Rattus norvegicus: one gene and its partner. The main gene of each other region encodes a partner of the protein of the gene in region 2 in a complex. Links are inferred from orthologs where the notes say so. Each region holds a gene or a part of one and is shown on either strand. Other genes may lie near its edges. The genes, in order: Smim20 and Cmc1.

Region 1 (4,326 bases), on a different chromosome or scaffold from region 2:
AGTGCCAACGACCCAGAGGGCTCCACATTTCCTAACAAACCAAAACAGGTTCCTATTACAAATTCTCACCAAAGAACTAGTACCAGGTGTATTTCAGAAAGACCTCAACCGGGGCCAGCAAGACAGCTCAGCCGGTAAAGCACTTACCATGCAAGCCCAATGACCTAAATCCAACCCCCACAGCCTATGTTAAAACAGGGGAGAAATGACTCCAGAGTTGTCCTCCGAAATTGACACACATAAGCTGCCATACATCCACCCTCTCAACAGCACACATTTCTTTTCAGCTTTAAGAAAAAGAAAATAATAATGCACACAAGAAAAGCACGAGGGGCGCATGGGAAAGACGAAGAGTTGGTGAGTAAAGATAAAACAGTGATGTTAGTGAGTAAAGGGGCAGAGAATGCTTGGGCTAAAACACTACACAAGATGCACATGGCCAGGACGGAGTGAGAAGGGTGGCAGGGGAAGAGACTGGGGTCAGCCCAGCTCTGCCCCACATCTAAACTGTACCAGACCCAAGTGACAGCTAAAATCCAGGCTGAGTATATGAAAGGAAAGCAGTGAAATACTATAAATACTGAGGATTGAAATGGGCTGAGAAGCTCACCTGCACAGCAGGCTCCCAGTTCCTGAGCATACGTTGAGCCAGCTGGACATGCTTAGGGCTGGGTCGCTGGCCTTAGGCACACAACTGCTTATAGCTCGTCCCTCACCAAAGCCCTCTTTTAAAAGTGCTTTTTGTACAATTCCTCATATGAGACTATACTAGAGACTTCTACAAGTAATGCTCTACTTAATTCACCCTAAGCCTGTAAATTCAGTTCAGTAAACACCATCACCACAGCCTAGGGGGCTGGGGGGGGGGGCAAGGTTCAGAGTGAGGAAATACCCTGTCTATATGTCATTCAGCTAACAGCTACCACAAAGGGTTATTATGAGCACTAAATGGCTTGGTAGAGTTGAAGTGCTTGGAAGGGTGTTAAAAATTAACTTCAGATAAAAATTAGCTGTTTAGTATGACTTTCTTGAAAGATTTAGTTACAACTTTTGGTTAAAGTTGGCTGAATTATTTTAATAAGCTAAAAGGTAAGCGGGTATGGACAGCCTTGGAGCCTGACCTGCCCGTCTAAAGCAACTTGGTCAGCCAAAGACTGGGGAGTATTCCTGGAAGCCATGTCTCCTCTTGACTCACTGATTAAGAGCTGGGCAGCCCTCACCCTTTGATGCTTCCTCACAGGTGACTTCTGTGCATCATGGAAAATTTATCCTGGATCCTATCTAGTAGATACTAATAACCTACTCACCTCCCCTTCTGTCCCTTAGCTGTGACAAGCAAAACCAACTCCAGATAGATAGCACACTGGCTAAGAACCATACCCGTTTTCAGAACTGGGAGTTTTCGAAGGGAACCCACAGCAGATCTTTCTGTCTCGAGTCCAACTCTAGAAGCTGTAATAAAATAGCCCGGGGCATGGACCCAGCAAGGGAAAAGGATGGAGACGAATTCTGCAGGACCCTACACAGCCCATGTTCCTTCCACACACGGGGTATGCAGAAGGACTTGTAGGCAGGAAGCACAGAGACCGTCTCAGTCTGAGCTGGTAAAAAGCTGCTGCCAGGGGATTCGTGTGTGTACTTGAAACTGCTTTGCCTCTGGAACCCAAGTGCTACAGCACTAGAGATGGTCAGAGCATTTACATGAAGCGTCAAACCGCCAAGCTTCAGCTCCGGCTAATATTCCCCAGGGGGCTGGGCTGGCCCTCTTCATCTTCAAGATGGTTCAGGTTCCTGGAGAACAAAATGATCCTCTAATGCCTCATCTCTCCTCTCTGACAGATGGCTTCAGATGTATCAAAGTGCTAATCCTTGCTGAGGTATAGGTCTCCAGGAAGGAGAGTTTGGCTTTTAGAATGATAGGACCTGAATGATTAAGGAAAAAAATGACTCCCCCGGCATTCACCATTGTCATGTGAGCAACCAGCTTAAAACGAAGGAAACCAGCAGAATCTAAAAAAACGATTTGAGGAAAAACTCAAAACCCAGGTTAACAGTTTAGCTTTGAAATATTTCCGCTCCAAGACATCTTAGGGGACGGCAATGATGCACCATAAAAACACCTTTCAACTCAGGATGATCAAGGCTCCCACTAAAGTACCATCTCAGCCTGGGTGAATGGAGGGGAGGGCTCTGCAGGCAGAAGACTGGGTTGGAACATTTCCCCCACCACTTACTAGCTGTGTGACCTCCATCTGTAAAATGGGTAGTACCTACCTCAAGGGAAGGCTGTGCAAATTCAATGATTCGATATATGACTAACCTGACACATTAAATATTCAGTATATAGTAACTGTGTGTGAACTAGTGTTAGTGTTGACCTGCTGTGTGCAGGCTGCTTTCATACACATCACCTCTGTGACCCCTAAGATGCTCCAGTTCTGTGGCTGATCCTGCAACTGATTATTTAGACTCTTAACATTGAAGGTCGGAGGTGGGGCCACTTGTCCGAGATCACCGGGCTGCACTGGGCGAGCCTGGACCCTGGGTAGCCTCACTCCTAAGTCCACCTCCTTCCTCAGTACTCCTTGAACAGTTAGGGTAGGGGCTTAAAGACTTCGGGGTAGCGCTGGGAGCAGCCACTGCGCGGGGTCAGAGGTCACTCACGGTATTCTTCCAGCCGCAGAAGGGGCCGGAAGTAGATAGGGTAGAAGGCGGCTCCGACCATAGAGATGAAGCCTCCGAATATGAGCGCGGTGCGCAGGTTCCGGGCCGCGGCCATGGTGAGAAAGGGGGCTGCAGGGCGGGCGAAGGCCCGGCACGCTCCGAAACCCGACTCCCAGCCTCAAGGTCGCGACCCGGCTCGGAAGAGGCGGAGCAACTCTCGCTTCCGGGATTTGGGTGCAGGGCGGAGTTTCTGGGCTCGGAGGCGGGGCCTGGGCTGAAAGACTCCTCGCAGTGGGGCGGGATCATCTGAGGGCGGGGTCTTCTAGGAAGGGCGAGGCATGGGGCGGAGACTCAAACCGAGCCCCGCCTCCTCGCCTCAGGCTGACTGCGTGGAGGGCGAGACACTGGGTGGCCCGTGCAGTCACAAATTTGGCTACACTCCTTTCTCGAGCCCCCTTTTGACCTCTTACTCGCCTCGGGTCTGCGTCCTTCCTTCTCTGCTCCAATTACCACCTCCTGTTTTACTCGTCTATTACCAACAACACTTTTTCACCCTTCCCCTTCATTAACATTGTGACATTTGTGATTGGTGACAGGCTAGAAGCATCTGAAAGGCTGAGCAAGTCACTGGGTCTCCCTCTTTGAAAGTTGTTTGTGGGCACGAGTCACAAAGGAACAAATCTCCTGGTTCGAATGGATTGCAAGGCATTTGCAAAATTAGTCACTGTGTCTTCTGAACCAGAGCAGCCTTTTAAGGAGGGTATTTGAGCACCCAAAGTGATCTAATTTTGATCCCTCATCCTCTCTGCTCTCCATGTTATGTGTGCTGGGTTATGAGGGGTTCCAGAAAGTAGACAGGAATTCCCAAAACTAACAGAGGGCTGCAAACAAAATCTATTAAAGCCTGGGAACATCACAGAGTCAGTGGCAGGTCCCTAGGGCTCTGGCTCTTTGCCTGGGGCGGAGCCTCTGAAGACTGACACCTGCTCCCTCGTCCCACGATCGCTTTCCCCCACCTCTGCACCTGTTCCCTTTTACAGAGCCTTCGTCAGAAGATATGATCTCCTCAGGGAGCTGGGCAGCTAAGACCAACATTCCTCTGGCCTTCACTCAATCCCTTAGAAATAGAAATGACAGCAGTAGCGAGGCTGGGCTTCACAGAAGGTATTTATCTTGACCTCAGCAACATTATTTAGTCCAGAGAAGATCAGCAATCTCTCAGAAATGATGTGGTGAACACAGGTCTTTTTCTCTGTAGTTTTGTAGTCGAATCAAGATTCCATCTACCTCTGGCTCTAGCAGCATATAAATCAGTCGTTCAATCTGTCAACAGATTTATAGACTATCTCACTATGCCCCCCGAACAGCAGGCAAAGTGCAAAGGGGGACACAAGATGAATAAGACATGACCTCTGCTCTCCAGGATCCGACCACGGAACAAATACATGAAAAGATAACTAATCCTGGATGCAGCCTGTTGCCGATGACTGATGTAGTCCCAAGGGCAACGGAAGTGCAGGGAGGAAGACAAATGACTGTGCAGTAAGATGACTGCTCCTCAGGCCCCCTCAGGAACTTGTTAGGTAAGAAGAGAAGATTGCACAAAAAAGAAGGGTCTTGTGCTACATGAATTAAACACAGGAGGGAAGATCTCCCAGTAGT
Region 2 (4,330 bases):
ATTCCTAGGAATGACCTTGGAAATGAAACCGAAGTCCAGAAATAAAACACTGGAACTTATTTTCACGCCGCAGGCGTGGCTACAGGATTCAAGAGAGCGTACACAGTTCTAACTGAAGCAGACCAAAAGCATCCCATTTATCAAGATATGTTTTGCCTATGTGGTTTGATTACTTGAGTGTTGGATGCCCGACTTCTGATTTTATAACTCATCTCATAGTCTCTAAATCTTCAGGTGTATTTGTTACACACAGCGAGTGGTCAGCTTGAGCATCTGCCTAATCCAACAACGGCAGCAACAAAACGTCGTTTTGGTCTTTCTAACTCATCCGCTTCCAGCAAAATAAAAAGGGGACCCATAGCAGCTTCTGTGTGTTTCTCAGCACATTTATAAAACATACAAGTAAAAGAACCGACTTCTGCCCGGCTGAGTGAAGGTTTAATTCTCCACCTTGGCACCTCAGCCTCTAGCTGTAATGAGAGCGTTATGTCCAAACAGGCCCTTAAACCGGAGCCCTGCTGAGCAGAGACGCACTTTCCCAGGCCTGTTCAACTGGGGTATCCTTTCTGCCAACTGACCAGGCAGACTCAGCAGCAGGGAAGAAGGGACTGCAGGTAGGTGGGAAGGGAATCATTTTGAAAGCCTTAAATCCCTCGTAGCGAAGAGGCAGCTGCTCCACGTTTTCCCAAACATCTGTCCCTGGCCCTACTCACCATTTGGAGGCTTGAGTTCATTAAATGGAGATCTGATAGACTCAGCCAGAACTGAAGGTCGGTCAGTGAGTGGAAACAGGCCTAAGGGCCGCCCTGAAAGTTACCTTCGGGCAACTGTTCCTTTCCCTTATGTCAGCAACAGATCACAGCTTTCAAGGAGAGTCAAGATCCATCACATCACCCAGACTGGACTGCCCAGGGTGTGTTCACAAAACACGTCTCCTGGACAGGACTCCTCCTGCAGGTGGCTTTCCTCCCGGGAACAACGCGTCAAGAATAAGGGCTTTATTTTTATTACTTTTCCTCTGGCACTCAAGACTGAGGCCGAAACCCGACAGGGACAGAAGGACATTCAGAACCTTTGAGATAAGAGGCCCAAGTCTCAAATCCCACGTGCTAAGTCAGGCAGCACACATTGAGGCAGCCTCTTGAAGGCGCATGCGTGGCCACGCCCCCTCCTGGGCATTCCGCGAGAAACCCGCCCACTCTACCGCAGGATTCCCGTAGAGGGCAGTCGGGCGCAGGCGTAGAACAAACCGAGGGTAGGAACAGGGGAAGGGGGTGTGGTCTGTTCTCACAGCGGAGGTCGCGCACCCGCTCTCCTGCGGGAAGCTGCGGGCGGGCGAGCGGCTGCGCGCGCAGTCCAGCTTAGGCTCCTCCCCGTCCCGGCTCCAGAGCCGGCGAGTGGCTTGCTGCTTCTCCGCCCTCCGAGATGGCGCTGGACCCCGCAGGTACTGGGGTCGGCGTGGTTGTGAGGGCCTAGGCGCCAGGGGTCAGGTGCTCCAAGGATGCGTGGCTTCCGCAGTTAGCACCTCATTCAGCCCGGCGGCTGGGTTTCCACTCTCGGTGACAGGCCGTCCATCTGCTGCTCGCTGGGGCTCTAGTTGCTCGGTGAGGGGCGTTGGATTCCTTGTGTCAACTTTCACTATCTCTTCAGTCTCTTCACCGCCTAGTTTTTGTTTTTGCTTTTTTTTCTTTCCTCCTTTGGGGCACAGGCTCCTTTTAAACAGTATCGGGTGTAGACAAAGTTGTCCCAGAAAACTGAAGTTTCACTCTGGTGCACAGTTTGACATTCTGTTTCCGGTAATTTTATGCCTTCTCCCAAGTTCATCCTGGTAGGTCAGTGTAACAAACGCTCCACGACTGACTGGCTAGAGGCATTTTCTTGGAAAGGCTCTCCAATACATCTTCCGTGTCGTTTTAATTTGCATGATTCCCATCACTTACGTTTGCAGTCGAGTTCAGGTCCTCAGGAAGTTTTTCAGAAAGCGCCCTCCCAGTATTTTACTTGATTTAAGTAACGGTGAAAAGGCAGAGACAGAAAGGTAATGAGTCTAGTCTTAATGGATAGGAAAACTCCAGGTATTGATAGGTTAGAGACTTTCAAACCTTTGAAGAATCTGAAGCGAAAGGTCACATGTAGCCCTCACATAGGATGGAAACTAGGTATAGCATTCGAATAACTTGTCATTTTATTATCAAGCCAATGTATTCAGTTGTCCCAGAATAGTACTTGCCTGGTTGGTTCTTTTATCTCCATTTTCAGAGTAGGAAGCAGGCTCAGAAAGGTTAAGCCGCTGCTTTTAGTCACCCCTCCTAGTTCTTTCCTAGCTGGCGCCTTTGTCCGTCAGCTTTGAATTAAAATGTCAGTTCCTTATAGAACTTAGCACCGTCTAAAGCAACCTTGGTTCATCTACTGCAGCACCCTGCTTACTTCGCACCTCACGTAATTGACCAGAGTCTGTAAGTGTATTAGTATAATCTGAAGCATAAAGCAGTTGCGGAACACCGCTCGGATCTTATCAATTTGAAGCAAAATATTTGGACTGAAGTTTGAAGCGGCATCGTTGAGCAGTGATCATGTGGTAAGACACAGAGTCTTACTTGATTTGAGGGTGACAAGTTTGATTGGAAGGTAGGAGGCAGTAATGAAGCATGGGTAAGGGAAGTTCAGGTAAAGTGCATATAATTTTGGTATTTCATGACCTTGAAAATGATACTCATACAGATAGGGATAGGGACACTCAGGTTAAAGCAGTGGTTCTCAGCCTTCCCAATGCAGAGACCCTTTAACAGTTCCTCATGTTGTGGTGACCCCCCCAACCATAGAATTATTTTCATTGCTACCTCACTTCATGACTATAATTTTGCTACTGTGAGGAATCGTGATGTAAATTTTTTTGGAGATAGAAGTTTGCCAAAAGGATGGTGATGCACAGGTTGGGAACCACTGAGCTAAAGGCCTGGATGGATCTTTATTTAGACAGATGAGAAAGTGTAAGAAACAAACAGTTCATACTTGCTCCTACGGGTTTCTAGTTCTCTTAACCCCGTCTGAATGTGCAGTGTGCTCAAGGCGTCATAGCTATTGTCTGATAAGACCAAGTTTTGTTACGAACCACTTGGTTCCTTTCTCAACCCAGACTGTCAACCATGCCTTTATTTTAGTACCTTTTGGTAAACTTGTTGGTGGCTCAGTGTTCTTGGTGTATATTGTTCTGTAACCTAGGAAACAGTAACATATAGGACAAACAAGGACCCCCACCTAAAGTAGCCTCTCCCTGTTTGTTCACAGACACTAAAAGACATGAAGTAGATTGTGAGGAGAGAGCTACTTTTGTTAAGAGCTTTTATGGAGAAACACCATTTGCTTTAAAATATCAAGAGAAGAAGCTACCATGAAAAGAGCTGGGAGCTGGGGCCATGGTGGGCATTCAATGTGGCAAATGCTTGAAAAAATATTGAACTGACAGGGCAGAGTGGCGAGAAGAACCATAAGGAAGAAGGTTGTCAAAGTGGGCTTGAGGTGAACACCTCGTTGGTTTAGGGACTTGAATTCTACTATAAAGCATCTTAATTCTTTTTTTTTTAAAGATTTATTTATTTATTATATATAAGTACACTGTAGCTGTCTTCAGACACATCAGAAGAAGGCATTAGATCCCATTACAGATGGTTGTGAGCCACCATGTGGTTGCTGGGAATTGAACTCAGGACCTCTGGAAGAGCAGTCAGTGCTCTCAACCACTGAGCTATCTCTCCAGCTCTAGCGTTTTAATTCTGTTTCCTTTCAGTTTTTCTCAAAGTCTGGACCCAAGAGTGAGATGTAGGCAGCATCTGTATTCTCATGTGACTTTTCTTTAAACTTTCCCTTTTACAGAGTTGATAACACACTCCCTGAAGGTTTATCTTTTTATTATTGTTATTATTATTATTATTATTATTATTATTATTATTATTATTATTACAGTTATACTTATTGTTTTCAACTGTGATAAGTGGAAGAGACTAGAGAAAGGACAAAGTACTAAGCAAAGTGGTAGTGAGAGGGATTGGATTTGTACTGGTGCCTGCCTGAGCTGCACTGCGCTCTTAGATCCTCTGACACTGAAGTACTTGTTAGACGGCTCAGACATATTGCTCTGTCTGTACGATCCCAGTTCTGCTGACTCATCTATCACTAACCGTGTGTGTGTGTGTGTGTGTGTGTGTGTGTGTGTAGTCCCTGTTCTGATAGGAGATTCTTACCGCCTTCAGTCATAAGTAGGACCTTTGATCTCAATAATTTTGCAAGAGTTCATAGTGCAGCTCGTTCTCCTATACTAGGATATGTCTTA

What was found.
Region 1: Cmc1 (region 2) and Smim20 share a complex: the UniProt entries of both Homo sapiens proteins name them as parts of the MITRAC (mitochondrial translation regulation assembly intermediate of cytochrome c oxidase complex) complex. The link is inferred for Rattus norvegicus from reciprocal best matches to the Homo sapiens genes CMC1 and SMIM20.

What each region holds. Positions count from the first base shown.
Region 1 is NC_086032.1:61,932,658-61,936,983, forward strand, and holds the start of Smim20 (small integral membrane protein 20), read right to left. Parts: upstream 2,876-4,326; 5' UTR 2,780-2,875; coding exon 2,665-2,779; intron 1-2,664.
Region 2 is NC_086026.1:126,732,499-126,736,828, reverse strand, and holds the start of Cmc1 (COX assembly mitochondrial protein homolog), read left to right. Parts: upstream 1-1,265; 5' UTR 1,266-1,425; coding exon 1,426-1,444; intron 1,445-1,455; exon of another isoform or gene 1,456-1,604; intron 1,605-4,330. UniProt on the Homo sapiens protein: Component of the MITRAC (mitochondrial translation regulation assembly intermediate of cytochrome c oxidase complex) complex, that regulates cytochrome c oxidase assembly.